Arabidopsis thaliana: one gene and its partners. The protein of the gene in region 1 interacts with the protein of each later gene in a pairwise test. Each region holds a gene or a part of one and is shown in the gene's direction. Other genes may lie near its edges.

Region 1 (8,037 bases):
TATTATATTAATTCTTATTTCTTATTTTTGGCAGCATTAATTCTTAACTTTAGTAATTATTACGAATAAATAAGAAATTACCAACTATTATCTGAAAATAAATATTTAAGATTTTAGTGTAATATTTTGATTGCAAAAAAATCAAAGAAAAACCAGTTTTTATATATTTTGGATTAAATCAACTCATAAAATTCTCAATATATTGTGTAAATCTTTCATATATTTTTTCTATCTAAAATAGTTCTTAATAAAATATTTTTGTAAAATATATTTTTTTTTCAGAATTTTAATTACTTTAGAAGATCCATCAATATCTGAATTAAATTTAGTGTCGTTGATTTAAACTAAATTGTAATAGTTCCATGTGAATTTATCAGTGAAGCTTTTAAAATTTTTCAATTTTCAATCAGTATTTGTTTTTTTTCTTCTTGTGTTTGTAAAAATTTGTTCGTATTTGTGAAATTCCTTACAAATATTTTGCTTGGTGAAATTATTTTAGATTGAACTTTTACTTATCAGTGTACTTCATGTTTTTCAAAACATTTCATATGAAGCTGTATACTAGCTTTTATCTCGTCAATATATATACATACAATGGTTTACTACATTATTTTCACATAACTATATCGTTTATAAAACAACTTTTCTCATCGTTCTGAAAACTTGGTGAGAAATAATTTTGGATCGGATTTCTTTGATCAAGTTTCCGATTTATTATAGTTAACAACAGTGTGAAAAGTGGATAAATAACGAAACACAAACTGATGGATAAAGAAATTTACATAAAAACAAGAAGATGGATATATAATATATATCCTCAAGGGACAAAATAGAAATCCTATAGTAATATGATAAGTTCCGACAGAAGTTTGAGTCGATAACCCTCTTTCCCGCTCTTGTTTCCTCTCCTATAAATACCTCTTGCAATTGGCACAAACTCTCCATATCACTCTTCAACTAGTTACCTTTCATAAATATGGACAACGATCGAGATACCGTAGAGTTCTGGTCCTCACTTTTCCAATCCTTTGCTGACTCAGAACCTAAAGATAATCCATATCCTGTGGTTAGAAGCCCGATAATGACCATGTCTACACCGATGGCCATTGATGAGCCGGTTGAGCCATGGAAAGTTCTTGAATATGGAGGTAAGGAGGTTCGTCCGATGGCCATTGATGAGCCGGCTGAGCCATGGAAGGCTCTTGAATATGGAGGTAAGGACGTTCGACCGATGGCCATTGATGTGCCGGCTGAGCCATGGAAGGTTGGAGGTAAGGAGGCTCAACCGGCAAATGCTGCAGCCGAAGCTGGATATAAGAACGTTAATACGGATCAAGAGAAATCTACTCAAAAAGCAACGGAAAAGGTAATTATGTAGTTGATTTTCTTAGATATATATATGAGTTTTTTTTTCCGTTTATTTATTTTACATATGAGTTAGGTCTAATACGAACTTTGTTATTATATAGGGTAAGGAGAAGGAAGATGCTGCGAAGGAAGGAAGCAAGAGTCTTGGTAAGAGACCACGTGGTTATGAAGCACGCATTATCAATGACAAGGTGAGGACACGTTTGTTTGTTTAATGCGTGTCTCTCAACGAAAAAGACCACGTTGTTCAACGTTTTTTTCTTTCTTATTTTTTTGGAAAAAGGCTTAATGTTTTGTTATTTTGATTTCAAAATGCAGAGGAGACGCAATGATATTAATAGCAAAATTGAGACGTTGAAGGAGATGACACGTTGTAATGGAAAGGTTCATGCATACCAACTTTTTGCCTCTATTTTTTTCATCTAATTGTTGCAAATACAAATTGATACATGTGTTTAATTATCTTTACTAATCAAAATATTTTGTTCATATACGTATAAACAAGAAGTTTATTCTCCTATTTGTGTTTGAAACTTAACATATGTCCTTAATTAAAAAACTAAATTAGTGGTGTTTTTTTAGGACATCCATTTAACTTGTATCAACAAACGCTAATGAAAAATAAATTTGGGTCTGATATTACTAATACAACTTTTGCTTTGTTTTTAATTTGTTATCCGCATGAACTGTACGTAGAGAAACTTAGACTCGAGCCTTGAGTATATCATCGATAAAATACGGGAGATGAAGCTTTGTGTAGAAGTAAGTAATCTGAATCGTCACATTGTTGTTATCTCACGACATGCATGTATATTTAGGATTTCATATATGTTTTTTTAGTTTCAAATTTTTCTTTTTCATTGGTTTTGTTTAATTCAGTTTATCATATGTTATATGATAGTTAAGTGAATGTCATTTCTTACTTGCTGGATTAGACAAAAGCAGTAATTAAAGAAAACCATTTATCATGACTAAACTCAATATTTAACAATGCAGAGTTATTGGAGAAACTCAATAGGTCTAATGATGCCACCGGGCATGGGGGTGGTGGATATTCCGGCACCATGGGTATATCCTTATAATTATGTCCCTCCAAACTACATGATGTATTACAATCACTTTCCGGCAGCACCGGCACCAGGAGAAACTAGCGGCTACGCCAACCAATTTGTACCCTTTACCACTTATCAGGTTTTGATTTGTTTTCTTCTTCATGTGTTTATATTTTTGTGATTGTTAGTTGTTCTTTATTTATCTGTTCTTTCTTGACAATGAAAAATTTACAGGGAGTCAACAACAATAATCAACCACAGACGACAAAGCCGATGTAAACTACAAGATGCTGTAGTATATAAGACCAGTTCATGTTTTAGTATTAAAGACCGGTTCTCTCAAGTTCTTTAATAATATGGTTTGTTGTTTAATGTAAAGGAGTTGGTCTCCCAAGTTGTATTTGAAACTAGGAGTACTATGTGGCTTGCTCTTTGTTGTACGTTTTCGCACTGTTGTATAGTATACTGTAACGTTGTAACGTTTTACATTGTTTATCGTAAACAACTTATAGTATTTTGGTTGTTTAAATGCAATGTTTTCGTGTTTAGTTCTAGTGCGCAACATCATATATTAATTCACATTAATCACCAAGAAGAATCTAGCTATATTGTGAAACTAAGGATTGTTCCGAACATAAACAAAAAATGTGTTGAAATATATTATATTATATCTAAAATAAAATAAATAATATAAATATTATTATTTTGGCAAAAAAACTATATTAATATTGTTTTAAAGAAAAAAAACTTTGTAGCTAAAATGATAAACATATATAAGTGATTTTTTTTAACTTACATATCTCGTTAACGTTTTTTTGTTTTTTCGTTAACGTTTATAATTTGTAAGAAAGATTTAAAAATGAAATATTTTCATAAATATTTAAATATTAGATATTTGATCCGCGGTTTGGGCCTGTAGAGAATCTTAAATTCATTTTTTTTTTCTGTTTTTATTTTCAATCTTTGAGCAAAACAAATAGTTAATGATGTTATAGATTCAATTGTTTAACAAAAACTAACTTAAGAAATTAATTTAATTGAATGATTTTTTTTATAACTAAATTGAATGATATTGCAAATATCTATTTACAACATTAAATATATTTGTTACTATAATGATGTTAGTGTAAAAAATATATTCATTGTTGCACCCAAAACATTCATAATTAAATGTTAGTTTTAAACTTGGCAATCGAAATTTTATATTATTTTTCTTTCAAATCGCTCATATGATGGCAGGTTAACCAAATATGTTTTGCTTGTCCGTTTTTTTTTTCTATCTGTCTCCAATTGTTCAAATAATATATACGAGATATTGAAGAAATGGTTGAGAGAAAAAAATGAAATGGTTGAGAGAAAAAAATGAAATGGTTGAGGTTTATTTAAGAAGGAGAAGTAACGAGAGTGTGCATGTATCCACAAATAACCCAAATTAAAATAGTACATCTAGCTATAAAAAACGTCCCGTCTCAATGAAGTAATCAGACGACGGTCTTATGTATTTGGGTCGATGGCGAAGCTATTCGATAGAGAGTTCAAGATCTCTGATCAGCACATGTTTATATGAAAGATTTTGGTGCATGACTCCTTAAAATATGTATGAGTATTGAAGAGACACGTAACTCGATAAATATATGCAAACGTACGTTCTAAATATCACATCAGAAGCTAGCTTGCACAGTGTTACAAGCCGGTCAAAACAAATTTCTGACTAGAAACATTTTCTTGCCCTTGCATGGACATGTCCATGCATGTTGTTGATATAATAGAAAGTTTATCTTGTTCTCAATCAAAATAAATAATTCTTAAATATTGAAATATGTCATTTTTGTTCGAACTTGTAATAGGAGTTTTACAGTTCTCTTTTCCAACTAGATAATGTTTTTCCAATTTTAATGCAATTTGTTGTATCCATAGCTAGCTTGAGAAGAAAAATAAAATACTAAAGATTAAGAACTGCCGTTCATGAACAAGAATGACACTATTCCCCTGCCGTTCTTAGAATTTCAAGAAAGAGCAAGAAAGCAAATATAAGAAAACAACAAAAATATATGTTTTCTTCTGTCTAATGGATGTGCGTAAATGTGGAACACATAAATATAATAATATAATGGAAAATGAGTAAATAAATTGTTAGAGAAAACCATGGGACGAAGCAAAATCATCTTCTTTGCTTCCCGCTCAATTGTTGGAACTTTCAAAAGAAGCTTCTTGTATCTCCCCTATATATATATAGCTTATGGCTGAACTAACTAGTTTATCCTTAACCCTCCACTTTTCACTCTTTAACAAACTCAAAATCCTCAATTTAGTCAATCATCAATGGAGAGAAACAACCGCAACGAGGGGACTCACGAAGAAGAGCAATGTTCGCTTTCTGATATTATTTATTCGTTTTGTTCAGAAAATCATAGTGAATTAAACCCTTTGCAAGAGATATTCGGTGTTACCAAAAACAATGATCATGAGAAACACGACGAGGAGCCAGACGAGGAAAGTTACCGTATGGCTAAACGGCAACGTTCCATGGAATATCGTATGATGATGGAGAAGGTGAAGATGACTTAATCTCCTTCTTCTCTTACGTGATTCCCTAGCTAATTTATATTTTTGCTTTCTAAACTTTGTAGAAAAGACGAAAGGAGATCAAAGATAAAGTAGATATTTTGCAGGGGTTGATGCCTAATCATTGCACAAAGGTTAACTATTACTTAATTTACTCCATATTTTTTATATATTAGAGTCTAATACAATATCAAGTTTCGAATATCGAGTTTCTTGTGTGTTTATCTACAGCCGGACCTTGCATCGAAGCTTGAAAACATCATTGAATACATTAAAAGTTTGAAATATCAAGTAGATGTAAGCATTAAACTATATCTAATTTAATTTAGTTACTTGTATCCATTAGAGTATATATGTTCTTATGTGTTATGTGGATGTGGTCCAGGTTATGTCAATGGCATACACAACAACTCCGGTTTACACACCACCATTTTATGCAGCAGCTCAAGCACCATGTATGTCTCCTTGGGGCTATTATACGCCAGGAGTTCCAATGATGCCTCAGCAAAACATGACCTATATCCCGCAATATCCTCAGGTTTGATCAAATTAAAGTTTAATCTGATTCCACAGATTCTGATTTCTGCCATCAATCTTTTATCACAGGTATATGGAACAGTGCCGCCAAATCAAACTCAACCTTAAAACAAGCTCTAGCTATGTGGCTTTTTAAGACCCTCCGGCTTTAGACTCGTTGCTGTTTATATAGACTGTCTTTGTAAACTAAGATATGTACATAGATACATAAATACATACGTAGTTTTATGTATAACTTTTAGTTTGATGCCACAATATGTAAAAACACCTGTTTTTTATGTTCTGTTTTGGTTGAGCATTGTTCCTCTGTTATTTATGTTCTGTTTTGCTCAACCTTTTTCTTTGTTGAATGTAAGTTAAATAAACAACAAAGATGTTATGTTACGTGTAATAGTACGTTTGTACCAAACATTACTACAACCCTAGTTTGATAATTTTTATCTTGAATCATAGAAAACGAACTAGATCACTAAAATGTTAAATTCAAGAAGCAGAATACATTCATTGGCTACAAATTATCTACACACTTTAACTTTTTTTATTAAAGCAAGAAGCCAAAATAGTTTTATCTTTAAATGTTACTAAAGTAAACAAAAAATGCTTCCCGTTTAACCTCCACAACCACCACCGCAGCCAGCGGCGCAACTGGATCCATTGACATCGTCGTTAGTGTGAGGTTTAGAAGCTCGGTCACTGCATGAGAAAATCACGGCTGCTATGACGGAGAAAGCCACAACAGCTGCCCAAATGTAGAGTGAGACTTCACCATTACCCGCCGCTATTACCGCGAGTTCTCCTCTCACCATTGAAAGAGTTTTTGTGCATCGCTTTGTGACAATTGTTGAGACTAGTTGATAAAGAGAGTTGTAATTGGCATATTTTCAAATGTGTGGTTTTGCGTTTTCGAGTCAGAAGTCACCAAAAAAAAGATGCGACGACTCTTTCTTATATATACTGCCCTTTGGTTTAACTCTAGGGTCAGTGGATCACAAGCTAGTAGTTAACCAATTGTGTGTGCGGCCACTTGATTGTCTTAAAAAATAAATTAAAAATTTCTTAGTTAGCAAAAAAACATAACTAAGAGCGAGTTTTTAAAAGTGGTCATAAAGTAGAACAATATAAGAAAGTAGCACTACAAATGACATAATTACATAGATGACTATATTTACATAGATGTCTATTTGGACTTTGAATGTATGGATATACGAAAATATTTTGGAGATTTGTTTTTCTGAAGATTCAAAAAATTGATTAGAAGACTCTGATTAGCAACTTAAAACAATTTGAACTATCTAACAAATAAATGGTAAACAGTTACGGAATAATGCAAAGATGTAAAATAGAGAAGCAGTAAGCAAAAGTGATAAACAAAAATCCAAACAAAAAACCAAGAGGTATATATTAACTTAATTTGGTTTACGGAAAAAAAATACATGAATAGAGACAAGAAAATAGATGAGTCTCGATGAGTCTTTCTAGTAAGAAATCAAGAGCTGATTGCATGTGAAGCAACATCCCTAGTGACCTTGACGAAGCCAAAGAGGTACCTAATATATTTTTATTTTCTTTTATCACCAAAGAGGTGCGAGGTGCCTAATAATGAAACGAATATCTGTTGAATATATCCCTGATATAAAGTTAGACCTCAAAATTGCAAAATTTTAGACTAATAAATCGTTGTAACGTGAGTTATGCTAACTCTTACAAAACTTTCTACTAAGGTTTGAGGAAGATGTAATGGTATCAAAACCCAGTCAAGCTTCGTAGCAGAATGGCAAATATCGAATAACATTTTCATTGCACAAGAATATTTCATAGAGTTTAGAGAAACCAATCATGCTTAAAATAGTGATAGCCAGTAATAACATATTTTAGAAAAGACTATTCTAATCACAACGAGTCACCTTCAATAAAGAACGAAAATCTAATGATCAATACCCATTGAATCCTGAATTCCTTGATGAACAATCATGATTACATGAACAAAGACTTATTTTAAGTTTTAATAATGTGTAACAATATGTGCAGATTTGGAAGATTGATATACATAAAAGTTACATAGTCCTTCTAGTTTTAGCTTGAGCTTTAGGGATCTTGTTAATGACTTTGGAGTTGAATTTGTTTAGGAGCTTCTTCATGTCCCTCCCACTTTTACTTGCTGCATAAGTCAGCTCTTCTTCGTATTGCTCATACAACATCGGTATTGTCTCCAAACCCACAAATACTTCACCAAAACACCAAAAATGTTTGTAATTAAAGCCATACTTAAAAAGAAAGGCTTTTACCAAAAAGAAAGGCTTTTACCAAAAAGAAAAAGTTTTGGAAAATGTAGAGTGTTAATCAGTAAATGTGTTAGATAACCTCATTAAGACTCACCGATGTATAATAGAGTTAGAGAGCTGAAATAGTTTCCAACCACTGATAATATCCATAGGGAAACAACGGCCTAAAACGAAACGAGACACAAGTTATAAAATCAAAACAATCTTGGTATGAAATAATTAAAATGAAATTG
Region 2 (8,598 bases), 780 kb from region 1:
TTCGAGGCTGCCACCAGACACATACTTGTACACCAAGAAAAGCCCTTGATCGGGATCGATACAGAAACCTAGCAGAGGCACAACGTTGGGGCTATTAAGAGAGCTTGCAATCATCAACTCTCTGCAAAACGACTTTGGAGATTCTTTATCTTTTTTATCAAGTCTTTTGATGGCCACGGCTTTACGCCAAATCCCGATTCTTCCCTTAAAAACATAGCTACAAGCTCCTCTTCCCAAAACCCTCCCTAACCAATTTCAACACATCTTCCTCAAATACAATTCAAAGATCTAACATATCAAAGTACAAAAAAAATAAGAACAATAACAGGACATTTTGAGGGTGTTTTAGGGTTTACGTTTTGAGAAATTGCGCGTGGCAGTGAGGAGTTCGCGGTAACTGAATCGGATCAAAGAATCGGCCACCGGAGAAATACTCTTCTCCAGTGAAAGGCCTCTCGACCAATTCATCTCACCTGTCAATTCTCCTGTCTCATTCTCCAGATTCACTAGCAGAACCGTCTCTGATCCTTCAGACACTGGAAAATTCCGATAAGACAACGAAGGTTTCTCCTTTTTAATCTTCTCCAGCTCCAACTGTGAGCAAAGACTAAACCTAAACGAAGACTGCAACGAATGTTGTTCTGAGTCAATAAGCTTCGGCTCTGTTTCAGCCAGAAGCCAAGCTTTGTTGTCCTCACGAGAGCTGGTTCGAGGAGGAACAAAACAAGGAAAACCCAAATCAAGAATCATTTTTTTCAAATGAGTTTTTATTTCTAGATTGTTGTCCTGAGGATTTGTATTTGGGTTTCGTTGATGAACATATAACCCCATTCTTTCTTCTCTGAAGATATCTAAAGAAAAAGAAAGGTAAGAGGGAAAGTGACAACAACAATTCTCTTTCAATTTTGGAAAAGTGTATTTTAAAACTCAAAGAACATGAACTAAAACCGTCAATGTATTGTTGAGCAAGAAAAAGAAAACAGAGGAGGGGGGAAATAATTGTGAATTAATTAATTATTTTTGAATTATTGTTAGGATAACAGTTGGAGGATATAATTATAATTAATTATTTGAAATATTGTTAGAGCGATTAATTCATATTTAATATAAGAAGATTAGTTGGTAAAGTTGTTGTTAAATGCTCAAAGAGGGACAAGACCAAAGCCCATGACCACAAAATAAGTTTATTTTGTGTGAAAGAAATTGGAGATGTTGATGTATGTTTCCATCTGATGGTTCTATATTTCTCTATTTATGTGAGAAGTAAATGATTTTCATAGCTATTATACACCATAGTAATATCTATAGATATTTAGAGGAATCGATAGTGAAAGATATACCAAAAGGCTTATATAAGTAGAGTTAAGATATTTTACTTTTTGAAGTAAAGAATAATTTATCTAAAAATGGATTAGAAAGACCAGCTGCTTTAGTTATCTACACATTGTGTTGACTAGAGTGTCCAAGTATTATATCTCTTTGTTTTTTTCCCGGTAATGTTTCTTAGTATATATGTGTCGTCGTTCACAAACTGGTTAAATTAGCTGTCGGATGTGTTTCTTATAAAGTAATGAGGGATCATTCTCTCTAGATGGTTAACATATATAATCGTATGGCTATTTACTTGGATCATGGTCTTGGTCCATATTTAAAGTTAGTGTGTTTGTAAACAATATTATCTGTTACTAACAATTTCGATGATGGATAATACAATATATAATATTTTTTGTTAGATAATTTCATTAAATGATTTCGATTCTCTAAATTCTAGATTTTTATCTTACTAACTTATATGATTATATTATTTTCACAGTTTCATCAATAATTTATTTCACAATAATGTTGGGCGTGGGCTTTGCTCCCACTTTACTCGCTCGGCCCATCAAAAATGAGTAAATGTTAACTGGTTTGATAAGGTGTGAATGTTTTATTTGAAAGCAAAAAAAATCCTAACTTTTTTTTGTCGAAAAAAATCCTCAAAATGATTTAAAAAAGGAATAAAAAAGAACGTTATTTCAATAAAGACGGATTGTACAAAACATAAATTAGTATCGAACTAGTTTGAATTTTATTTCTACCAAAAAAAAAAAGGTTTTAGCATGTTTTGGTCTCTAAACCCAAAGAATGGGCCGAATGTCCAAAACTTCAACAAAAAAAAAAGATTATATACAAAGATATTAACGAAGATAAAATAAATAAAACAAGTTAGCCTAAAACAACTATATTATGGAGTATATTACTTATAAGTCGACGTGTCGGCTAAAGAAATGAAAGTAAGAAGCAGGTTCTTAGGAAAAATGAATCATCGAAACAAAATAAACAATGAAAATGAATCATCGAAAGAATTGATATATATTAGAATCGATCATATATATGGGAATCAAAAAGACGTGTAGATTAGCGGAAGATACGGCGATGATTTTGCTTCTATGTTTTTCGCTTCTCTTAATTAATAAACTATTTTTGGGGTTATAAAGTCTCAGTCCATTAATTTCACCTTACTGCCAGCTAACAATCCCGATGAATTACTCATAAATATTGTAATACAACAATTACTCATAAATATTGTAATACAACACTTTAATTTACGTTCATTCATTTTTTTTATCACTCCAAAAAGATAATGATGTATTTGATATGCGATCCATATTTTTCCCCGACGTCAAGATTTTTTCTATGCCATTTTTTAAAATGAGTTCTTATTATTTACATTGTTGATCATGTGGTTTTACAGTGCCACATTAGTTGCTAAAATTATATACAATACAAATAACTTATATAATTTTTCCTCACCAGTATTAGTGGTCTATGTTTGGAGTATTTTTTATATAACATATATGGTACCGACTCGATTCAATTGATTAAATACCATAAAAGATAATTCTGTCTATAGACAATCTTTTACAATATTCTTTTTTTAAAAAAAAAAATACCTTAATTTGGGTTCATTTGAGTTTAACAAATTAAAAGTGAAAAAGAACTAATGAAAACTCAGTATTCTTACTACAATTTTCAATAAATATCGAAATTTATAATTAATTAATACTTAATTTACATTTTTCATATTTATATTTATCCATTCAGTTAATTGAAAATTAAAAATAAAATAATAATGTGAATATGTTTTATTGGTTAAATAAAAATGTAGTAGATTTTACGATATATTAAACATACAACTTTTTTTTGGTTAAGAACTATTGTATAGAGTAAGGTTTCAAATAATAACAATGGAACAAATTTTTTGTCCAAAAAAAAAAAAAATGGAACAAATTTAACTGTGAGAAAATAGTGGGATAGAAGCAAATAATGGAACCAGTGCAGTTAGTACGAAATGAAAGAATATGTGGAAGTATCATAAATATGTAAAATTTAAAAGTTAGAATACCAAAATTTTAGCTATCTTTTTAAAGAGGATCTAAAAAGTATCAGAAAACATGTAAGGTTGTGTTTATTAGAACTATTCATCTAGTAGAAAAGTGATTGTCATTATCTTCAAGTATCACATTAAAAAAAAAAAAAAAAATGTTGTGTAGTGTCTGTCGATGAACATCGGAGTAAAATGGATGTCATTATCTTGAAAGAACTAAGAAATATGAGTGTCCATAGGCAGAGTAACAAGTTGTTACTAACAACATTACAAGGAGACAATGACTACAAAAAAACAAAACAAATACAAGCATTTTTAGTAACCATACGTTTTAGGCATGCTAGTCCAATATTCCCAGTTAAGGAAATGTACAAAAAATAACATATGTCTAGCTAGAATTCTATGCATTCATAACTTCGAAGCTTCAAACTGATAAGAGTTTAAAAAATGACGTAAAATATTGAATTTGATCTAATGCCAGCTTCTTTTTCTAATCAGTTTAATCAAACTCAATAAATTAAAAAAAAATCTTAAGAATACGTCACTAGCTTAAATAAAATATTAGACATAAACCACTTATATAAACCTTTATCATAACATAACTACACAAACACATTGTCTCTCTTTGCTTACCAATAGACAACCTTAAAGCCACTTTTCGTCAACAAGACACACAAAAACCCTAAACAAAAAATCACTTATCAAACTTATTAGTGTCTAATGGCACTCGTTAATGACCATCCCAACGAGACCAATTACTTGTCAAAACAAAATTCCTCCTCTTCCGAAGATCTCTCCTCGCCGGGACTGGATCAGCCAGATGCAGCTTATGCCGGTGGAGGAGGAGGAGGAGGCTCGGCTTCGAGCAGTAGCACGATGAATTCAGATCATCAACAACATCAGGGGTTTGTATTTTACCCATCCGGTGAAGATCATCACAACTCTTTGATGGATTTCAACGGATCATCATTTCTTAACTTTGATCATCACGAGAGCTTTCCTCCTCCAGCCATAAGCTGTGGTGGTAGTAGCGGTGGGGGCGGCTTCTCCTTCTTGGAGGGCAACAACATGAGCTACGGCTTCACAAACTGGAATCATCAACATCATATGGATATTATTAGCCCTAGATCCACCGAAACTCCCCAAGGCCAGAAAGACTGGTTATATTCTGATTCAACTGTTGTAACCACTGGTTCTAGAAACGAGTCTCTTTCGCCTAAATCCGCTGGAAACAAACGTTCTCACACGGTAATTACAAACAACAAAGTCTTGGTGAATATTTTTCATATAAGATGTCAATGAAAGATCGTTGATATATACTACTATCAATTTGAATTATGGATATATAGGGAGAGAGCACTCAACCGTCGAAGAAACTGAGTAGCGGTGTGACCGGAAAGACCAAGCCTAAGCCAACAACTTCACCTAAAGATCCACAAAGCCTAGCAGCCAAGGTTTGCTTTCTTGACATTAATTTACATTCATTAAAATAAAACTCAATCTCTCAACACATATTTACATATGTTTTATTTTGTTCAGAATCGAAGAGAAAGGATAAGTGAACGTCTCAAGATATTGCAAGAACTTGTTCCCAATGGCACCAAGGTACACATCCATATAACCATTTATGACAGATTTATTATATTACTTATTCTCATGATAATAATATTTGTTATGTTTCACAGGTTGATTTGGTGACAATGCTTGAAAAGGCTATTAGTTATGTCAAGTTCCTTCAAGTACAAGTTAAGGTATATTAGTTATGACAAACATCCCTCAAATTAATTTTCAGGATTGATTTAATTACCATATTTATCGAATTATTACGTAACACGTATTGATATAATCTATTGTTTGTTAGGTATTAGCGACCGATGAGTTTTGGCCGGCTCAAGGAGGAAAAGCTCCTGACATTTCTCAAGTTAAAGACGCCATTGATGCCATTCTCTCCTCATCACAACGAGACAGGAATTCGAATCTGATCACCAATTAATGAAGGGTTTTATCATTAATAAATCAGTTTATCAAACATTAATTACGTACGTTGTAATAATATCGGGGGAAACAATGATTCTCTCGATTATAAATCCCACGTAAATTTTGAAATATGATCCAAAGAGAAGACAATCGAGATTATGTAACGTTAGATTATGTGAAAATCGAGAAGTTCTTAATGCATCTATAACGAAGAGAAGACAAGAGACATTGAATTCACCGATGATCAGTCTGATATGGGTCCACACGGGGATGGAATCTTTAACTAGTAAATAAGTGTTAAAAACATAAATATGTTTTTCAATTTCTTTTTCTGTTTTAATTGTATTTTGTGTGTTTTAGTCTACGGAATACAGATCTTTTATTTAAACTCCAAGAAATGAGTAATAAAATTCTTCACTTTTGTTTTTTCCTTGAGGTTTCAGTTTCAGAGAATCTATCTTTTTGTCATCTTTCTTTGTCTATTTGAGCTTGGCTTTATTAAAGCTAGCTCTTGAGCGACATGCTTATTTATTTAAAATTCGTCAAAAGTTTGTCACACATATTATAGGGTCTCTATATAGATTGCAATGCATAGTATTTTTTGAAAAAAAAGATAAACTATGAATTTCTATTACCAAAATAGACCATTTTTTTATTTATAATTGCTCTAGGACGACGAGTTCTTCTGTGCAAAACATTTTCACATTCTCTGTATGAATGATCAAAACATAATGTTAACCTAGTTTGCTTGGCTAAAACATTTTATGATATAATTTTGGTACACTAAAATATGTATTTTCGAAAATATAAACATTTTTATATGTAGGTAAATAAGTATTCAACCAAAAGTTGAGAAATCTTAAAATCAGTGATGAATAGCATATATTTTTTTTATCAATTAATTGTAGGATAACCATACACTGATACACATCAGCACCTTTATCGTATAAAATTATTTCTCAAATTAAGTATGAGATTATATTAATTGATTGGACGACATACCTAAGATCTCGATTTATCAGCCCATGTCAGCATGTGTCCTTTGGGAAAGATTAGGGATACGTGTTCTTATTAATTTATACATTGTTTTCATTTGAATTGATATTCAAATGTATGTCCAAAATTATTAAATTAATTAACTACATGATTAGCCACATGGATAATCCCACTTTAGGCGCTGTACTTGTATTTATGTACTTACGAGCTCCATCAAGTCAATAAGACAAACGAAGTTATTAAGAAGTCCAATAATCTATTTATTTTATAATCCATTACATGATTCCATATTTATCTTACTAGACTGGCATTATGTAAACAAATGAATGAATTGAAACGAAATATCAAAATTTCAATTCGATTTGTTTTCAGAAGTTTTGTAAAATATTAGTCTTATTGTATTATATTACACTTGAGTTTATTTATAGAAACAGAAAAAAATCAATTTTATTACCTTTTAAATGTTATTTTCTAAATCATTTACTTAAGTTAGGTTAAAATAAATGTATATGCACATGAAAGGAAAAACAATTGACAATTTGACATTAAAAATATAATTTTGAAAAGAAGTATTAACTTTGCCAAAAAGAAACTAAAAGAAGTATTAACTACATATAACCGTCAATTGTAGTCACTCACTGGTAATTGTAATTCGTTCCAAAACTTTAAGAATCATAAAACAAAGATATAAAACCTAAAATCATTCAAAAAATAATCCAAACCATCCCTAAATTATATTGGATTAGTTGTAATAATAACACGCTCAAACCATGAATGCTATACAAAATAAGCTTTAGTGTTGGTCTGGTATTTCTTTCCGTAATAAAAATCTCTATAAAAAAACTTATTACCAATTTATATTTTTCTTAATCAAAATATTTACCTATTTATGATTTTTAAAATGATCAATGTTGGTTTCAAGAAAAAAAAACATGATCTATATTTTTCTTTTAAATCTCTGTTATCATTTTCTTTTTAAAACATTAAAAACTCAACTATTTATGTGAATATTTTTTCATTCTTACTGGATATTTCAACCAATTTTAATATTGCAATCTTCACTGTCACAACACAAATGTGGAAGGTGGATACCGAAAAAACTGCTAGACATTTTTTTTTCAAGAGCTTGAGCTTATTGACTCTGGCCGTAACTTAAATGCATTTAATGGTAAGCTACTTTTGTTTCTTTAAAAGAGGATGGACAATGGATGATTATTGTGATAATTTTTTGTTTCTATAGAGCTTGAGCTTATTGACTCTGGCCCTAAATTCGTACTGATACATATACGATTACAAAAATCCAATTACTATTAATAATTTTATTTTTTTTAAACTAATAATTTTATTTTATCATTAAGAATCTAACTACGTCATCAATTGATCAATTTGAGGATATTCCTTTGAGGATTCTCCTTGTATAATGGTTAATAATTCCCTCTTTTATTGTTTGGATGTCTCCATAATTAAGAACACGAAATTTCATATGTTATTTGTCAAATATAGTCATAAATGCCAAGCCACTTAAGCGTACAGTTTTACTTACATTGTTTACTCGATAATCATTATTTTGTTGTATTATAGTAAGTATTTTACTCGATATGATCGTTTTATAAAAGTATGATATATGAAGTTTAACAATATTTCATGTAATATGACAAGCTATGTTGTCATGACAGTTGTCTCGTTAATGATTTCGTTAGCCATTGATTAGGTTGACTAGATACAAATGTTACATTTTGTTCGAATGAAAAGGGTCTTAATTTTTTATCAGTGAACTTTATTGAAGCTTCATTACATATATGTTTGGTGTCGATCGATGAGTATGTCAACAAAATTGGCAGAGTAATTTCTCTTCCTTTCTTAAAGTTAATTACATAACGAACGTTTATTTTCCCTCAAAGTTACTACTATGAAAATTGGACTTCTTATCATTTTAATGCATTTAAGTCTTTCGCAAGAAAAAAAAAATTCTTGGGTTTAAGAAGTTGTTTTAGGGTTTCAAAATTGTTTTGAATATCAAAAATTTCCTACTTCCATAATAAATTTTAAAAATATATATATTTCTATATTACTCTTAGTTCAATCCTCTCTAGTTTCTACTATGAACACTAAATAAGAAATAATTACGAAAATACAAATAAATTAAGATAAAAATGCACATGCTACATTTTAAAACCAGAAGTTATAGTTATTGTTATTATATGAAAGGAGTTGAAAACTGTACCTCCCCAAGTCGTATCCTACATATCGAATCACAT
Region 3 (9,114 bases), on another chromosome or scaffold:
TAATTAGTCAAACAAAAGACAAAGTAGCTAGATTCTGATCACATGAATGTCCAGTAACCAGGACAATATATAACACAGTAATTACTCATTAGCACCCTATTCTTTTATTTGTTTACTATTTATAACCACATAACATGTTTATTAATTAATGTTTTTATCAAACAGTATTCGAAAATTGCAAACGCAAACATACAAACCAATCAAAACGTCTGTGTGTCGTATTTGTGTTTGCAAATTTCAAGTGAATGTTTGATCAAACATTAAAACTGTTTTTTTTTTTTTTGTTAAACAACGTTAAAACTGTTATGCTTTTAAAATACAGACAAAATATTCTAACTAGTAGAACACAGAAATCCAAATGTAAATGATTTGCGTTTGAAAGTTTCAATATAATTCCACTTATTTAAGTTTTAGGACAATTATTAAAATTTTGCCACCAAAGTTACCACTAGTACTTCAACGTGTATGAAAGTAGTATGCACATATATATGCAATTTCAGATTTTCGAATCTTTAGATATCACAAATAAAAGAAAGACAAAAAGATAAGTTAAACTCTTTCATCTATTCTCTTGAGAAGTGTAAAAAGCCAAACTATATAGAAACTTGTATACTTCTTGTCATCTTCTATTTCACTCTATTGTTTGTTTTCTTTTGCTAAATCTCTACTTTGTTTGTTTTTGTCTCATTTTGTTCAATATCTTTTTTTCCAAATCAACGTGCAATTATTTGGAAAATAAATCTATTAAAAAAAAACAAGAAAAAACAGAAATGTAATGAGTGAAAAACTGACCTCAAGATAGATGTTAATGGCTCTGTATAATCCATCAAACCAATCTCTAGCTGAATCTGGCAAACTCTCTGCAACTTCAAGAAACTTTGACACTTTAAGATTCTGGTCTGGAGATATCTCTCTGAGATACTTATCAATCAACTTCCCAATTCTTCTCATTCTCAAATTCTGATCTCCTTCTTCTGTGTTTCCAATTCTTACAAACACTTTGAGTAATCTTATCACCAAATCCACATCGTAAACCCCTTTTTCTCCTTTTCCTCCAGCTGGTATCAGAAGATCATCAAGTGTTGCTTGATCCAGCATTTCTCCTATAACCCTCTCTAAACCAATTCTTGATTCTTTACTTATGCTAAATCCCGATAAAACTCGCAGAACCCAGAACATTTTTCTGCATGAAAACGCGGTTTTCGCTGCGAAAACCACTCCTTGAACCGCTGTATCAGCTAAACCTGAATACTCGAGCTTGTTGGTTGACTTGTTTGGGACCTTTGTCTTGAGGTAATGGAGAAGAAATTTTGTGAGGACCAAGCTGTCATTGTTCTTATCATGCGCACCAAGTGTATTTATCAGCTTTTCAATGATTTTTGGCCCGAGAATTGACATATCGTCGAACCACCACTCGTTACTTGTCCTGCAAGAAAAAGACCTCGAAGTAGACCTTTTGTCTGAATACGACCTAATCATTGCCGTCTCCGGCGACTGAGAGGAGGCTGAGGCAGAGGCAGAGGAAGACGGAGAGGATGATGAAAAGACATGACTCACGTCTGAATTCTGAGGGATTTTGGCTAAAACCCCGAAAACAAGCTTATCAACAAGACCGTAAGAATCAGCGTGTAAGAACACTTGCTCGCAGCTCTTGAGACACAATACGATGTCGTTCCAGGACCAGTAGAACATTCCTTCTAGAAACTTCTCTGTTCGAAGCAAGAGATTCGAGGAACAGAGTTTCTCTGTCATCTCAAGGAAGACAGAAGAGCAATGCAAAATGGACACATTTGAGACATCTATCGAGATTCCTCCACCATAACAGAATCTTAAAACCAAGTCGAACCCATCTGACCCACCTGGAAAATCTTCAACCTCGATGATGATTCTACTGTTCTTGTGATTCTTTTTCTTCTTATTGCTCTGTTTTATCATCTTCCTCAAGAAGCCTGAGTACTCTGAGATCAAATCCTAACCCAAGAAACAGAGAAACAGAGTTTAATTCAGAAAATGGAAACAGAGGAAGTTAGGGTTTGAATTAGTGTGGAGATTTGATTTGGTTTATTACCTGATTGACGAAGAAAGTAAATTGGTTATTGAGATTGATTTGAAGATCACAGCAAAGAGACATTGTATCAACTTCTTTTGCATTTGGTGAAGATGAAACTTCTTGTGAGCTTTCTTGTTCTTGTTCTTCCTTTTGGATTGGAGAGAGAGAGAGAGAGCAATAATAGTTATCACATGGAAACGGCTATTTATATATCTCTTTTTCGGCGTCTTTATTTCAATTATCTAATGTACACTTTCTTTTATCATCCTTTATAACTCATATAAATTTATGCAAAAGGAACTTATATACAAACGTCATCGAAAAATTGTATAAACTGGTCGCATGGACCAACTTGTAACCCTAGTGTGTAGACCATCTAAAATAGTGAAAATGTAATAATTTGTTGCCGTTTGTAATGAAAAAATTATTGTTCGTTATTGTTTAGTTTTTTTGGTATTAGATAATAAGATTCATTGCTTAATCGAAATGTACTATATGATATTAATTTTGGAGCAATTAGCTTGACATGCATAGTTTACTTCTTTACATTAGAAAACCTTTTTTCTAACATCGAACTTAAGAAAAGTTATATAAACTGCATTAATTGACTGCATGTTTATTTTGAAATCCATATAATCTTGTGTGCAGAGCACAAATCAATATGACGAGGCGTTGTTAGTTGTTACTAAAAATAACCAGGTGCAAAGATTGATTCCTTAATGCTTCATTGATCAGGATGGCCAAAAAATAAAATAAAAATTGGTGTTAGAGGAAGAAAAAAAAAATACAGTAGGTGGGTAAACAAACAGCAGGGAAATAGCTTACAATTTGTTGAGAATAATTCATAATTATGACCAACATTATTCAGGTTATTTGGGGTAAAGTAAAAATGTATTGCATCAAATCAAATAAGATTTACATTTTAGACAGTGAACTATAGGTCACGACTAATATCAAATATATATTTCCAGTAGCACAGAAAATGATGCTTCATGAACTCTCACTTATGACTTGTCAATAGCTCAAGGACTATGCTACTCAAGTTGTAATATATATATTCTGTATTTATATGCTGTTTTATACACACGTAACGTATATATGAATGTGCCCCCTTTGTTTTTATGTGAATTATAAATATTCTCCCTTTCTTGGCATTACATTATAAATTCGTAATACTATTATTCCACTTCCATGTAATTTCAAGAGTTTTCTTCCCTTTTTATTTGTAGAATATTTATATATCAGTTGCTTGTAAAGTTGGGAGTTTCACTTTCATTGCATGTGAATGGGCCGGGTAGGGTTTTATGACTCTAACGTTTGTGAATAAAGTCGACTACTTGCTTTTCATCATTATCCAAATCCAGCCATGTAAAATATATGTAATTGAAAACGATATATGTAACAAAAATGTTATAAAAAAAAGATACACCAATGTCGATATACATTACGACTCTTTGAGTACAAAATAAAAAAATATGACTAACTTCCGATAATAGTTTTTATTTATTATTAAAAATGAAGTTTCCAAATAAAATATCATTTTAATATCCATACAAATTATGAATAGTATGTGAGGTTTAGGGCAAAGTCTTCTGAGGGTTCATCAATGGGATGGGAGTGGGACGAAGAAACGAAGGCGACGAGAGGATTTAGGTTTTATTGTTTTAAAATTTTTGTGCTCTAGTATTTAAGCCCTTTAACAGGATTTTACAGGGACCAACAAAAATGTAAAGCCCCAAAGGAAGAAGCCCACTTAAAAAATACTAAAGTAAAAATAAATAATTAACAGGCCCATTTGGCCTCATCGACTAAAGCTAGCCCAAAAAGAGGATACAATAAAATTACATAAATTTTGTGTCCTTTTCGATTTAACTTTTTCTTTTAGAAGAACAATCCTTTGTTTTTTTGTGCAAATCTTTAGAATCTCGAGACCAAAACTTAAGTAATCATCAAAAATTTTGTCAAGTTTACATTTCTATGCCAAAAATTATACAATATCATAATGTTCAAGCAGTGCTCTAGAGAGCAAGAAAAAAATGGTTAAGACATAAAAACTAGTCGGCTAACACTGTTCAAGAACCATGATTTATTTGCTTCATCAACGAACTGATTATAATTCAAATATTACAACAGAGCGGCAAATCATTCGAAACGCGGTACGAACATTAAAATTTGATGTGCATTTTGGCCAAAATATTTGTTGATGGATTCAATTGGGTAGTGGAAGAAGAAACTGTCAAAGTACACCTACTTTGCAGTCAAGTTGTAAGAACATAAAGTACGTATTTTTTTACAATTTCTAAATATACTAAAAGCTTGCAGAAAGTATGTATATCTAGAAGTACGTATCTCTTACGTTTGTGAAAACTATTTTTATAATTTGACAATTTTAAATGATTTGATTATTACACAAAAATAGTCGAGGTTATGTAAAAATATTTTTTAAAATTTTCGATATTTTGTCCGGTACAATTATGTCACCATCTCGATTCAAGATATAAAAGAGTTAATTTAGTTTCACAATAAAAATCTCGTACTTACTTTTCAAACTTTATAATTGTGTTGGATAAAAAGTACAATTGAATCTTTTAAAATCAACAATGAGTGTCTGTTTTGATAAATGCATAAATTGGAGTGAAAAGAAAAAAACAATTCCAGCTTTTGCGAAGTTGGACATATTAAATTCTACACAATTGTTTTTTTTTAAAAATACAGAATTGTAGATAGAATGAATATTGTTTTTTTTAATTAAAATAATTGAAAAAATGGGGATAAGAGAAAATGGAATAATGCTTGTGAGCAGAGAGAGAGAGCGAGCGAGGAGGCTAGAGAATCGAGAATCGATCTTCGCCGAACCACCTTGTCTTCTCTTAGCTCATCGAATCTCTCCGTCGCCGTCGATTCTTCCCGCCGGTGAATCTCTGCCTTATTGTTTTCTTCAATTTGATCGTCCTGAATTCATCGTCCTATTTAGGGTTTCGATCACAATCTGGTACTTCTCTTAATCAAAGGAATTTTTATTTTGATTTTGAGGGTTTTATTGGTTTGAACTTAGCTCTCTAGCTCGTGAAAGTGTTGTTAGTTCGTCGTGGAAATCAATTCCTTCCCTGTGTTCTTCTTCAACAACGTTTAGTAATTTTTTCGTAGATGTTTAAATCTCTAACTTGTTGATAGAGATAGATGTTATTATTGCCAAATTAGGTGTACAAAAGAATGTGGAATTTTCTGTTTGAGATTAGCTTCTCTAGTAACCTTCTTTGCAATTCATGATGCCAATTGCTAAGTATGTAACTATGTCTGGTATGTGAGCTGGGATCATATGATACCTGACTATCGACTCAAAGAGAATTATGTTAAGTCAATCAAGGCTTAGTTCTGAGGCTACAGTGTGTGTGGTCGATGTGCTGTTATGGTGGAATTGGATACTAAAATATGTCTAAGAGTGGGACTGCAATATGACCTTCTTAGTTTATTCGATGTTTTGGTTGCAGAAGAGGAGGTCATGGACGTTTCTGCTAGAAAGTCACAAAAAGCTGGGCGCGAAAAGTTGAGGAGGGAAAAACTGAATGAGCATTTTGTTGAACTGGGAAATGTACTCGGTATAGACTCAATGGTTATGTGGATTTTTCTAAACAGCAGATGATCTCACTTTGATCCTCACATAGCTCTTCTGTTTGCAGATCCAGAGAGACCCAAGAATGACAAAGCCACGATTCTGACTGATACTGTTCAGTTGTTGAAAGAGCTCACATCTGAAGTCAACAAACTGAAATCTGAGTACACCGCATTGACAGATGAGTCCCGCGAGGTTCGTACCTTATCCCTTACGCTCCAGGCTTTTCCTAACAGAAAAAATTAGCAGTCTACATGACGTAAAGATATCGATAGGGATCCCAATATAGATAACTCATTGTCTTTTTGCTTTTACGATATGGTGACTACACCTATTTCGTAAGATGCAAACTCAGACGGGCTATATAATGTAACTGCTTATAGGACTTGTTGTTATCATCAATAGCAACACTTACAAATTTACTGGTACTTGTATAACAACGGTTCTTTCTGTAGTTGACACAGGAGAAAAACGACCTGAGAGAAGAAAAGACATCGCTGAAATCAGATATAGAGAATCTCAATCTTCAATACCAGCAGAGATTAAGGTCAATGTCTCCATGGGGAGCTGCGATGGATCACACAGTCATGATGGCTCCACCACCCTCCTTTCCATACCCTATGCCTATTGCTATGCCTCCCGGGTCAATCCCAATGCATCCATCAATGCCATCTTACACATACTTTGGGAACCAGAACCCTAGCATGATCCCAGCTCCATGTCCTACATACATGCCCTACATGCCTCCTAATACAGTCGTTGAGCAACAATCCGTGCACATTCCACAGAACCCCGGTAACCGTTCTCGGGAACCTAGAGCAAAGGTTTCAAGAGAGAGCAGATCTGAGAAAGCAGAGGACTCCAACGAAGTTGCAACACAACTCGAATTAAAAACCCCTGGATCTACTTCTGATAAGGTAGAGAGACTTAAAACTAGAAGCTAGAGATCTCCAATTTTTTTCGGATTTATTATCTTCACAGTTATTCGCGAAATTGTATTTTGAAGGATACATTGCAAAGGCCAGAGAAGACAAAGAGATGTAAGAGAAACAACAACAACAACTCAATAGAAGAAAGCTCTCATTCTAGCAAGTGTTCATCTTCTCCGAGCGTACGAGACCACAGTTCTTCCAGTAGCGTAGCTGGTGGCCAAAAACCTGATGATGCAAAATGATTCGAAAGAATCTGATGTTGATCATCTCAAGTATCCAAGTATCGTTTCGATGAGTACTGTATATAGTGCGAGTACAAAATGCACTTAGCTGTTTAAAGCAGTGTTTTGATGCACCGTGGCATTCGTTTTCCTCGGATAGTCATTTCTCAGATGATTTTCATCCTTAATAGGTCTGCTTTAGTTCTAAAACTCGGATGATTTGTAATTTCCAGTGTCCAAATCTACTAATTTTATTAATCCTATAAATTAAACAAACTTATATCTTGATTTTTTTTTAAAAATCATAGATTATTTATACTATTGTACAAAAAGAATTACATTTAAATCGGTAAATATAGTTTCACCATAAATATATGGTTTCATTAATATCATAAATTAGTAATGATATAGATATATCAACAATATATATTTATATATATATTATATGTAAGAAATTTCTTTGAAATATATTTTTAATATTTAGTTCTCATTTGTACTTATTTGAATTTAGTTCTAATATTTTACTGTATCAAAAAAAATTTGGTGTTATTTTTTAGACATGAGAATTATTTTTTACTTATAATTAGTTATAAAAAAAATATTTTTTATAATGAAAGAAATCTTATAGTAAAAAATTACTATGAAAAATTTCTTTATAAATTAATAAAATTTTAGAATCCCAACATTATTAATTTGTAAAGGTTTTACTGTAGTTAAGTTCAAGTTCAATTTAAGCTGGTGCTAAACGTTAGCTACGTGTTCGTATGATGTCAACTGTCTAGATACAGGAAAATTTCTCCGAATATACAGCGACTACACATCAACCATAGAGAACAGTATGAAGTAAATATACCCTCTATCCATCGCATATGTAGTTTGTGGGAGTGCTCTGTTGGTTTCGCTTTCCTCTGATGTTGTATACCCTGTATTGTCAAATATGACTGCGACACGGTTCCCACTCATCTCATAGACCGCTAGATAATAGTCTGCATGTATATAAAATAATTGTTAAAGACAAAACATAGGGCATACCCAATATCCTTTGTGCATAGTATTTAGTATGTCATGGAAGTTAACTAGGTCTTTGAGAGTTCGAACGCCATGAAGAGCAAAAGAAAGAGAGGAAATACGGAAGAGAAAGACAAAACAAACTAAAAACCAAAAGACATTTGACCTATCGTTTCTGTTTCACAGGACGACCATAAGATGTAAAAGTCTTGCCCATCCATTCCACAACCCATTATCGATTCACAAGGCAACATAAGAAGAAGTTTACATTTCGATGAGCTAGAGCAATTCTCTAGCGCAGATCACAAACAACCAACTCCAACCTCTGGTTATACTATCCAAGATTTTTACAGGATGGTGCCTGAGGCTGCCAGGTTTCGAAGGAATAAAGAGTTTTGGTGTAGCAAGAAAAATTAAGTTACAAGACACTAATTATATTGTAGATAGAGACAGAATTGAAATAAAATATGGAACATAAATAAATAATTAGATAAATGAGTCAGCAGCTTCGGTGAATTGTTCTGTATCTCGGAGTATTACTGCCGGCGACGAGGATAGTCTTATCTTCTCCTCTCTAATGACTTTGATTCATTTTCCTCTTCAGATTCAAATCCTAGATTCAATCGGAGAATGACCACGACGACGCCGGAGAAGACTCCGGCGAGACCTCTCTCTATCCAAGATTGGGACGTTCTCATCGACGACTTCCGCGACGCCGGCGCTCCTCGCGACTGGTTCACTTCCGTTTTCCAGATTGATTCTCTGGTGGACTTCGCTCTCTCGTCTCTCCTCAAAAAAGACTTCCCTACACCAGTGAAGCTCTCAATCCTAGTCTTTCTCGATGAATTTTCCCCGATTTTGTTTGATAATTGTGGTAGCGATACCTTTGATCGCTTCATCGATGTTCTCCGGACGATCGTGCAATCTCCAACTGATGGATCGTCAGGATTGAAAGAGCAAGCTATGGTCTCTTTCACGTCTGTGCTTGTATCGATTGATTCTTTCTCTGTAGGTCACGTTGAAGCAGTTGTTGATTTGCTTCTTGCGCTCGTTAATCGTCCTAACCACGGATTTGATCGACAAGCTCGTGCTATCGCCTGTGAGTGTTTACGTCAGCTTGAGAAAGCTTTTCCTGGTTTGTTATCTGATGTCGCTGGTCATCTTTGGTCGTTGTGTCAAGCGGAGAGAACTCACGCCGTGCAAGCTTATCTTCTCTTGTTCACCACAATTGTCTACAATGTGGTTAATCAGAAGCTTAAGGTTTCACTTCTTAGTACCTCTGTACCTTTG
Region 4 (7,641 bases), on another chromosome or scaffold:
GCTAAGGAATTCCTTTTTATAGAAAAATGCTTATCGTCGAACAAAATGTTGATCAGTGGATGTTGGAAAAAAAAGAATGTTCATTAGTGGATATATTAATCGTTGAATGTTAAAATATTCATCAAAACATATAATTGATTGAGTCTATTTGGTTTTTTGTTAAATGAGTCTACTGTCTACTTCTCGTGTATGTAGCTACAATACGGCATTATGCGTCTATGCATGGATACTGGAAATACGTTTGTACCTGCAATAATCCAAGAAAATGAAAACCCTCGAAGTCAATTTCATATGTGTAATATTCTTCCCCTCAAAAACAAAAGAGAAAGAAAAATAAAGTGAAAAACTCATTAAAGAGTTTTCCATAACACTAACACTTTCGGACCAAACAAGAGACTTCTTCACTTTTCTTCACTGCAGCTTCCCATGCCTTGTAATCACTTTTTTGTAGACTTTTTAGATCCTCTCGCGAAAGAGAAAAAATAAACATGTTTTTTTTTTTTGCTACTCCATTTTAAAAAACTTAGCATCATTACTAATATTATAACACATAATCTACCCTCGTAGTTATAGAAATCAATACAATAACGCATATATATCCTACCTTTTTCGTCTAGCTTTATTTTTCTTAACTTGATATATAGCCAATTTGAAATTTTATTTTTGGATGAATTAAGCCAAGTGGTGAACTGGTGATTACTTATACATTTTCTTTTTTGGTTTGATCATTTTTAATGACCAAACCTAACCGGTGAAATTGGAGTAAGATAAAGTGATATCACTAGATTACAAAGTGTTCAAATTTGGAAAGAAACAACACTGAGTTTTTCTTTGTTTGTTCTTCTCCATGGTGGAAGCAGAAAGAGGAAATCCAAAAAAGAAAGAAAAAGAGAAGTCGCTGTAAGAGACCAGACTCTGAGGAAATGAGGGTGTGGTTCTTTGGGAATCGTAACGCACAAAGACGGAAGATTGTATCGCTATTAATAAAAAGGAGGAAGAAGCACAATTGCTGAAAAAAATAGTTATATATGTATGGCCTATATATATATATAGTTATTTAATGCTTTTTTATGTACGCGATAATTTGGATGAAAATAATGGAGATTGTCAGATTTTATGATTCAATCTTCATCGGAAAATGTTGCATAGTTATTTCACCCACTCACGTGTATATGTACTATATACATTTACACTAGATTCATCTAGTTAGGGTTTACGGTTACACTTTATACACAGACGAAATGGGGGCCGCTTGAGCTGTCACATGTTTAAACCATATCATAATAGATAAGCTAGTGATAATTTGCTTAAAAGAAAACATGATTTAGTAAATCAATTGCATTCAATTTTTGTTTATTACAACTCGGTATACATTTCGAAACATATTATACAAGCTTTATAAACCATTATGATATTTCACATCACAGTTGCAGAAATGTACATACAACCAAAAAGGAAAAAGTAATAATAAAATACTATATGTATTCTAAATGAAATCATAGATTTAAGAAGTAAATTAAATTTATGTGTCTTATATATTCTATTATTTTACATGTTTTTGTGGAAATTTAGAAACTAGCTGTCCAAAATGAATCATTTAACTTTCACATGTATGAAAAATATTAATAGACTTAATTAAAAAACACTCTAAATTTATGATCAGGCAATAAAAAAATTGTTCATTGCTCCAATCCATCCGAATTTGTATTATATAAAATACATGGCAAAATAAAACTTCTTTTAACTAAACTATATTATATTATAAGTCTTGCTCATGACTGTTATATACTTTAATAATATGATCGAATGCTAGCTATTATATTAAATACACAGTTACTCTTTTAATTGCGGTTTTCATTTTAAACCGCTATAAATGCGAAAACTATATAGTGTATACTTATATCGAATCAAATTAATTTCCAAAACTTGTGTGTGTATAAGTAGATGTTCATACATGTAGTTGGCAGTTGGGTGGATTTAATAAGAATATAATATACAGTGAACAATGGATTAATACCAAAGAAGTAACCCTATAATGCATGATTGCAGCCTGCATGCGCAATTTGTATGATTATAATGCAGACCAAATCATAACATATGTGCAAAATATACGCTTATATCTCATATATGTACATATACATGTGTATTTATACATTGCTTTTGTGTTGAGGCATATGACATAAGAAACTTGTCACATTAAATCAGAACCGTCTGATTTTTGTATAAACGGATCGAAACAACGTATATAAATTTGCCTCTTTTGAAGTCTCATAAAATTTCGTGTATTTTACGGATTTGTGTTTGTTTTATACACTTGTATACAAGAACGTTGTTACGTAGATGTGAACTTTGTTAATAAAAAGCAGAAATTGCTTCATGGAAAATGATATATTCACCACCGTCTTATATAAACGAGTCACGACGATGATACACGTCTTTCTTATTAATGACAATCATGGATAACACCCAAATGTTGAAGAAGCTAAGGTGTCCCCATGCGAGTGATTTGATGTTTGTTATCCTTATAAACCTTTAATCACGTCGCAAGTTATAGAATAGCTTTGTGGAAAAAAGCAAGTTGATCATTTGTTTTATAATAATATATAACATTGCGAGTTTCACACACAATTTACATTCAATATTGGACTCCATCGAGGGGAGAGAGAAAATCACGACCGTTGATCGGGATAAGAGTATAGGATCAACAAAATGTGCTATTTCGTGAAGAGACAAGAGAATGAGAGAAAATTTATCAAGATTTCCTATTTTAGTGAATGGGTTTTGTGAAGAGAGAAGGAGATAATTAAAGGGATTGTAAATTGAGAAGTCAGAATAAGAGCACACAAGTGGTGACATCTTTTGTGAATCAAAGAGAAACTCATGTTCATATAAAGTAATTCACATTCTTATAGCTAGTGGTTATTAGTTTATTACTTTGGTGAAAGCCACTTTCTCGATATACCCTAAATTCAAGTCTCAATGTGGGAGAGGGAAACCCTAGCCAACTCAAAACTATCTCATTAGTCAACTGGAGCTGCTCATTAAAAAAAAAAAAAAAAAAGCGATTATGCCAACTATATGTATACAAAAGTGCTACAACGTTTATAAACATTTTCGGAGCATAAAAAAACTTCTTATTCAACTATATACAATTTAATCTTTTTCTTTGGTAACGACTAGTGACGTCCACTTATTGAAAAGATACATATAAATAAAATTATTCTTTATTTTTTCTCCGAACCAAAATCCTTAATTGCATCACCAACCTAACCCCTCATCATATGATCACCTTTCTTTTTTTCCTTTAATATATATATATGCTCACACACACACATATATATATACATATAAGCATCGCCTCAAGCATTAAAATTTTTACGAACCAAACAAACAAAAATTATGAATAATTATAATATGAACCCATCTCTCTTCCAAAATTACACTTGGAACAACATCATCAACAGCAGCAACAACAACAACAAGAATGATGATCATCATCATCAACATAATAATGATCCAATCGGTATGGCCATGGACCAGTACACACAGCTCCATATCTTCAATCCTTTCTCTTCTTCTCATTTCCCTCCTCTCTCTTCTTCCCTCACAACCACCACTCTTCTCTCCGGAGATCAAGAAGACGACGAAGACGAAGAAGAACCTCTAGAGGAACTCGGTGCTATGAAGGAAATGATGTACAAGATCGCAGCCATGCAATCGGTTGACATCGACCCAGCAACCGTCAAGAAACCCAAACGCCGTAACGTGAGGATCTCCGACGACCCTCAGAGTGTGGCGGCTAGACATCGCCGTGAGAGAATCAGTGAGAGGATCAGAATTCTTCAGAGACTCGTGCCAGGTGGCACTAAAATGGATACGGCTTCAATGCTCGATGAAGCTATACGCTATGTCAAGTTCTTGAAACGGCAGATCCGGCTACTCAATAATAATACCGGATATACTCCTCCGCCGCCGCAAGATCAAGCTTCTCAGGCGGTGACGACGTCATGGGTTTCACCGCCACCACCGCCAAGTTTCGGCCGTGGGGGAAGAGGAGTAGGAGAATTAATCTAGACAAGATGACATTTCCATTAGTAGTAACTAAATTATGCTATAATGTGTGAGTAATGGTGCAATTATGGAAAGTGTTTATATATAATAAAAATGGATACGAAATAAGGGTTTGTTAGGATATATAATATATTGTTGTTGACCGTGAAAAGGTTGTGGAATAATCATAACGGTTAGCTTGAGTTGTGTACCACCATATATTTAATATTATGTTATCATTTCGTATATAATAATAAGTTCTTGATTTGGAGTTTGGTTGTATACAAGTTTTGGCCGGGCATTTTTCGGGCATAAGAACCATGACGCCATCAAAGAACCCTATTTAAATAGTGTTATCATTACTGTGGACTTTTGTCTTTGTATACACACAACGCATATATTTGTGAAGTACTATATTTTAGAGCATATAATATGAATGTACTCTATTGCTTCATTTTCATCTTTTTACGTACATACCTCACTTTGAACGTTAATACCTATACATATTGAAAATCGTTTTGTTATGATTAGAATAAGCTTTAAGAATTCCTAAATTACAATAAGCTTTAGGGCTTTTTTTTTAATATATAGCTTCACAACTAGCAACGAAAAATCCAAAAAGAAAAAAGTTGTTATGAAAATAATATCCGTACGTTTAGTCTATTAGATTATACTTGTTAGTATCCGATTAAACATCACCTGAAAACTAAAAAGTCTAACAGACTAAACGTATCCGATTATACTTGTTGTAAAAATGTTAACGAAAAATGTTTAGCTATAGTAACGTTTAGCATAATGAAAATTACGACAATCATCCCATAAAATGATGTTTTGTAATATAAAGTAATCTCAAATTACAACAAACCGATAAGGTATACAGATACTCTACTCCAGAAAGAGAGTATATATCGAGACATATTATAAAGAGGATGGTGCAGAGAAAATGTACTTGCTCGTTTTGTCTTCGAATTAATGAATAGAAGTTCAACTAAAACAGTTGCAAGATCTCTTTTTACCTTCCCAATAATAAAAAGAAAACCTTTGACTACAAACAAGCATTAAACCACCAGAGCTTTGCTCCACACTTGTTGGTCAGAAAATCTCAGAAAAGTAGCAGAGAGGTTAATTCAAGGAAACCTATGCTCCTTGTTCACTTCACTCATGGATACTTCCGCTGACTTTTGTGTCTCCTCACATTCATAGGTTTTAATAAAGACACAATGAAATGTCAGTGAGATTCATGGAAACCTAGCTATATCCATTTTGCTAACGAAATCATTTAATATATTTTCTTTCTTTTTGCCACATAGTTATACATTCATTCACATCCTAGAGATAATTGCAAGAACTTAACGTCTAACCAAATTATTTAGCTCAAACAATGCATTAATAGTCACTAAATAGCCATGGGTATGATTCATATATTTTCAAATCTAATTCGTTTTACTACAGAAATATTTCAATGTGATTCGAGATAATTCTTACATGATCAAACAACTTTCTAATTTTATGAATAAACTGTGATCCCGGTGAAAATGTATGTACTTCACACCATTAAATATCAATATTTTTAACGGCCCATAAATATAGGCCCAATTATGTGAAAAGTTACTAATGGGCCTGATTTATTTCAAGTGTCCGTTTTTCTCTCTCTAGTTCTCTTACTCGTATGAGAAAGAAAGCCCACCCGGGAATCTCCGACCCGACCGAGAAATGGGATCGTCAGCGAATACAGAAACCAACGGCAACGCACCGCCACCGTCGTCGAATCAAAAGCCTCCGGCTACGAACGGCGTTGATGGGTCTCATCCTCCTCCTCCTCCTTTAACTCCTGATCAAGCTATTATAGAGTCGGATCCGTCGAAGAAGAGGAAAATGGGGATGCTTCCTCTAGAAGTGGGTACTCGTGTGATGTGTCGGTGGAGAGACGGGAAACACCATCCGGTGAAAGTAATTGAGCGCCGGCGGATACATAACGGCGGTCAAAATGATTACGAGTATTACGTTCATTACACTGAGTGTATGTCGTTTAATTCCTTATCAAGTTTTGATGTAGGGTTTTCAATTTTGGTTGATTCGTACTGTTGAGCTTCACAAAGGTGGAAATTTAGTCAAGGGTTTATAATGTAGGAAGAAAAAAGAGTTAAATTGCAAGACTTTATCAATTGGATCATTGGAATTGGCTTCAAGTTGTGTGAGATTTTTGAGAAGGAGATCAAATTCTGCATTATACTTTGCTTCTAAAGATTTTGAACCATTTATACTATTGTGATTAAGCTGAGTAATATGATGACAAAGTTGGTGATTTTGAAATCTTATGATCATCAATGTGTTTGATTTTGGTAATTTGTTTTCGAAACTGCAGTTAATAGGAGGCTGGATGAATGGACTCAGCTGGACCAACTGGACCTTGATTCAGTAGAGTGCGCTGTAGATGAAAAAGTGGAAGACAAGGTGCGTTCTCTAGTTTTGTATTGTTAGTTGCATAATGTGGATTTCATGAGTTTTCTCATATACGTTTAGCAATGAGCAGAGATTTATGTCTGTGGTTTCTAGGTAACAAGCTTGAAGATGACACGTCACCAGAAGAGGAAGATCGATGAGACACATATAGAGGTAATGAATGCCAATATAAGGCGGGTCCTGGAAACGTAAGGTTTGTGTTGATTCAGTATTCTGTGTTTCGAAATGTTTTTATAGGGTCATGAAGAGCTGGATGCAGCAAGTTTGCGTGAACATGAAGAGTTCACGAAAGTGAAGAACATATCAACAATTGAGCTTGGAAAATATGAGATTGAGACTTGGTACTTCTCCCCTTTTCCGCCAGAATACAATGACTGTGTGAAGCTCTTTTTTTGTGAGTTTTGCCTGAACTTCATGAAACGCAAAGAGCAGCTTCAAAGGCATATGGTGAGCAACTGTTTTTCTTTATCTTTGAAGTCTTATGATGCTTTTTAATTACATTTCCATTGCGAGCTTCAATAGTCTGGTTTCACATCTGTATTCTATGTTTTTGCATTCCAGTTTCATTGCTGAAGATAGTACCCAACCTTTCAGATTCTGTTGAATATTGTCACTGACTTGCATATCCACATTCACGGTTCATTAAAGTTGCATTTATATGGTTTTATTTTATCTTGTAGCTTTTGTATAATTTCCTTACTTTTTTCCTGCAGAGGAAGTGTGACCTGAAGCACCCACCTGGTGATGAAATTTACCGAAGTGGTACCTTGTCAATGTTTGAGGTAATATCCTGAGATAGGTCTCTGGTCTTCTTGCTCTGGATATGATGTATCGTTAGCTTTCTCTTATGTTTTTTTTTTTCGTATATGGATGCTGATTAGTTTATCTCTCATCTGGTTATGTTCTACATTAGCAGGAACGTTTTTCTCTAACCGTACTCTCATCTTACAGGTAGATGGCAAAAAGAACAAGGTTTATGCACAGAATCTCTGCTACCTGGCAAAGTTATTTCTTGACCACAAAACTCTTTACTACGATGTTGATTTGTTTCTATTCTACGTTCTTTGCGAATGTGATGACCGAGGATGCCACATGGTTGGGTACTTTTCAAAGGTAATATAGCAAAGT

What was found.
Region 2: the proteins of AT1G68240 (region 1) and RHD6 interact in binary tests that used the Arabidopsis thaliana proteins (3 or more experiments, as listed by UniProt).
Region 3: the proteins of AT1G68240 (region 1) and bHLH121 interact in binary tests that used the Arabidopsis thaliana proteins (3 or more experiments, as listed by UniProt).
Region 4: the proteins of AT1G68240 (region 1) and HEC3 interact in binary tests that used the Arabidopsis thaliana proteins (3 or more experiments, as listed by UniProt).

The regions. Positions count from the first base shown.
Region 1 is NC_003070.9:25,572,772-25,580,808, reverse strand, and holds AT1G68240 (basic helix-loop-helix (bHLH) DNA-binding superfamily protein), read left to right. Parts: upstream 1-4,679; 5' UTR 4,680-4,742; coding exon 4,743-4,973; intron 4,974-5,050; coding exon 5,051-5,119; intron 5,120-5,216; coding exon 5,217-5,282; intron 5,283-5,370; coding exon 5,371-5,523; coding exon of another isoform or gene 5,524-5,529; exon of another isoform or gene 5,530-5,591; coding exon 5,592-5,630; 3' UTR 5,631-5,945; downstream 5,946-8,037. Other genes in the region: AT1G68250 (uncharacterized protein), read left to right, coding at 977-1,378; AT1G68238 (uncharacterized protein), read right to left, coding at 6,131-6,328; AT1G68230 (Reticulon family protein), read right to left, coding at 7,577-7,746, 7,899-7,968. UniProt on the Arabidopsis thaliana protein: Transcription factor involved in somatic embryogenesis. Acts as a positive regulator of somatic embryo formation. Acts as a positive regulator of ECP63 by targeting its promoter and inducing its expression.
Region 2 is NC_003070.9:24,791,239-24,799,836, forward strand, and holds RHD6 (ROOT HAIR DEFECTIVE6), read left to right. Parts: upstream 1-3,975; 5' UTR 3,976-4,087; coding exon 4,088-4,615; intron 4,616-4,716; coding exon 4,717-4,821; intron 4,822-4,906; coding exon 4,907-4,972; intron 4,973-5,052; coding exon 5,053-5,118; intron 5,119-5,228; coding exon 5,229-5,360; 3' UTR 5,361-5,777; downstream 5,778-8,598. Other genes in the region: AT1G66460 (Protein kinase superfamily protein), read right to left, coding at 1-245, 357-831. UniProt on the Arabidopsis thaliana protein: Transcription factor that is specifically required for the development of root hairs. Acts with RSL1 to positively regulate root hair development. Acts downstream of genes that regulate epidermal pattern formation, such as GL2.
Region 3 is NC_003074.8:6,899,027-6,908,140, forward strand, and holds bHLH121 (basic helix-loop-helix (bHLH) DNA-binding superfamily protein), read left to right. Parts: upstream 1-4,730; 5' UTR 4,731-4,815; coding exon 4,816-4,963; exon of another isoform or gene 4,964-5,459; coding exon of another isoform or gene 5,460-5,541; coding exon 5,542-5,649; intron 5,650-5,730; coding exon 5,731-5,858; intron 5,859-6,118; coding exon 6,119-6,580; intron 6,581-6,669; coding exon 6,670-6,837; 3' UTR 6,838-7,181; downstream 7,182-9,114. Other genes in the region: AT3G19850 (Phototropic-responsive NPH3 family protein), read right to left, coding at 793-1,971, 2,069-2,131; AT3G19870 (AP-5 complex subunit beta-like protein), read left to right, coding at 8,455-9,114.
Region 4 is NC_003076.8:3,022,834-3,030,474, reverse strand, and holds HEC3 (basic helix-loop-helix (bHLH) DNA-binding superfamily protein), read left to right. Parts: upstream 1-3,360; 5' UTR 3,361-3,399; coding exon 3,400-4,074; 3' UTR 4,075-4,366; downstream 4,367-7,641. Other genes in the region: HAM2 (histone acetyltransferase of the MYST family 2), read left to right, coding at 5,764-6,070, 6,416-6,504, 6,607-6,666, 6,751-6,960, 7,227-7,295, 7,465-7,626. UniProt on the Arabidopsis thaliana protein: Required for the female reproductive tract development and fertility.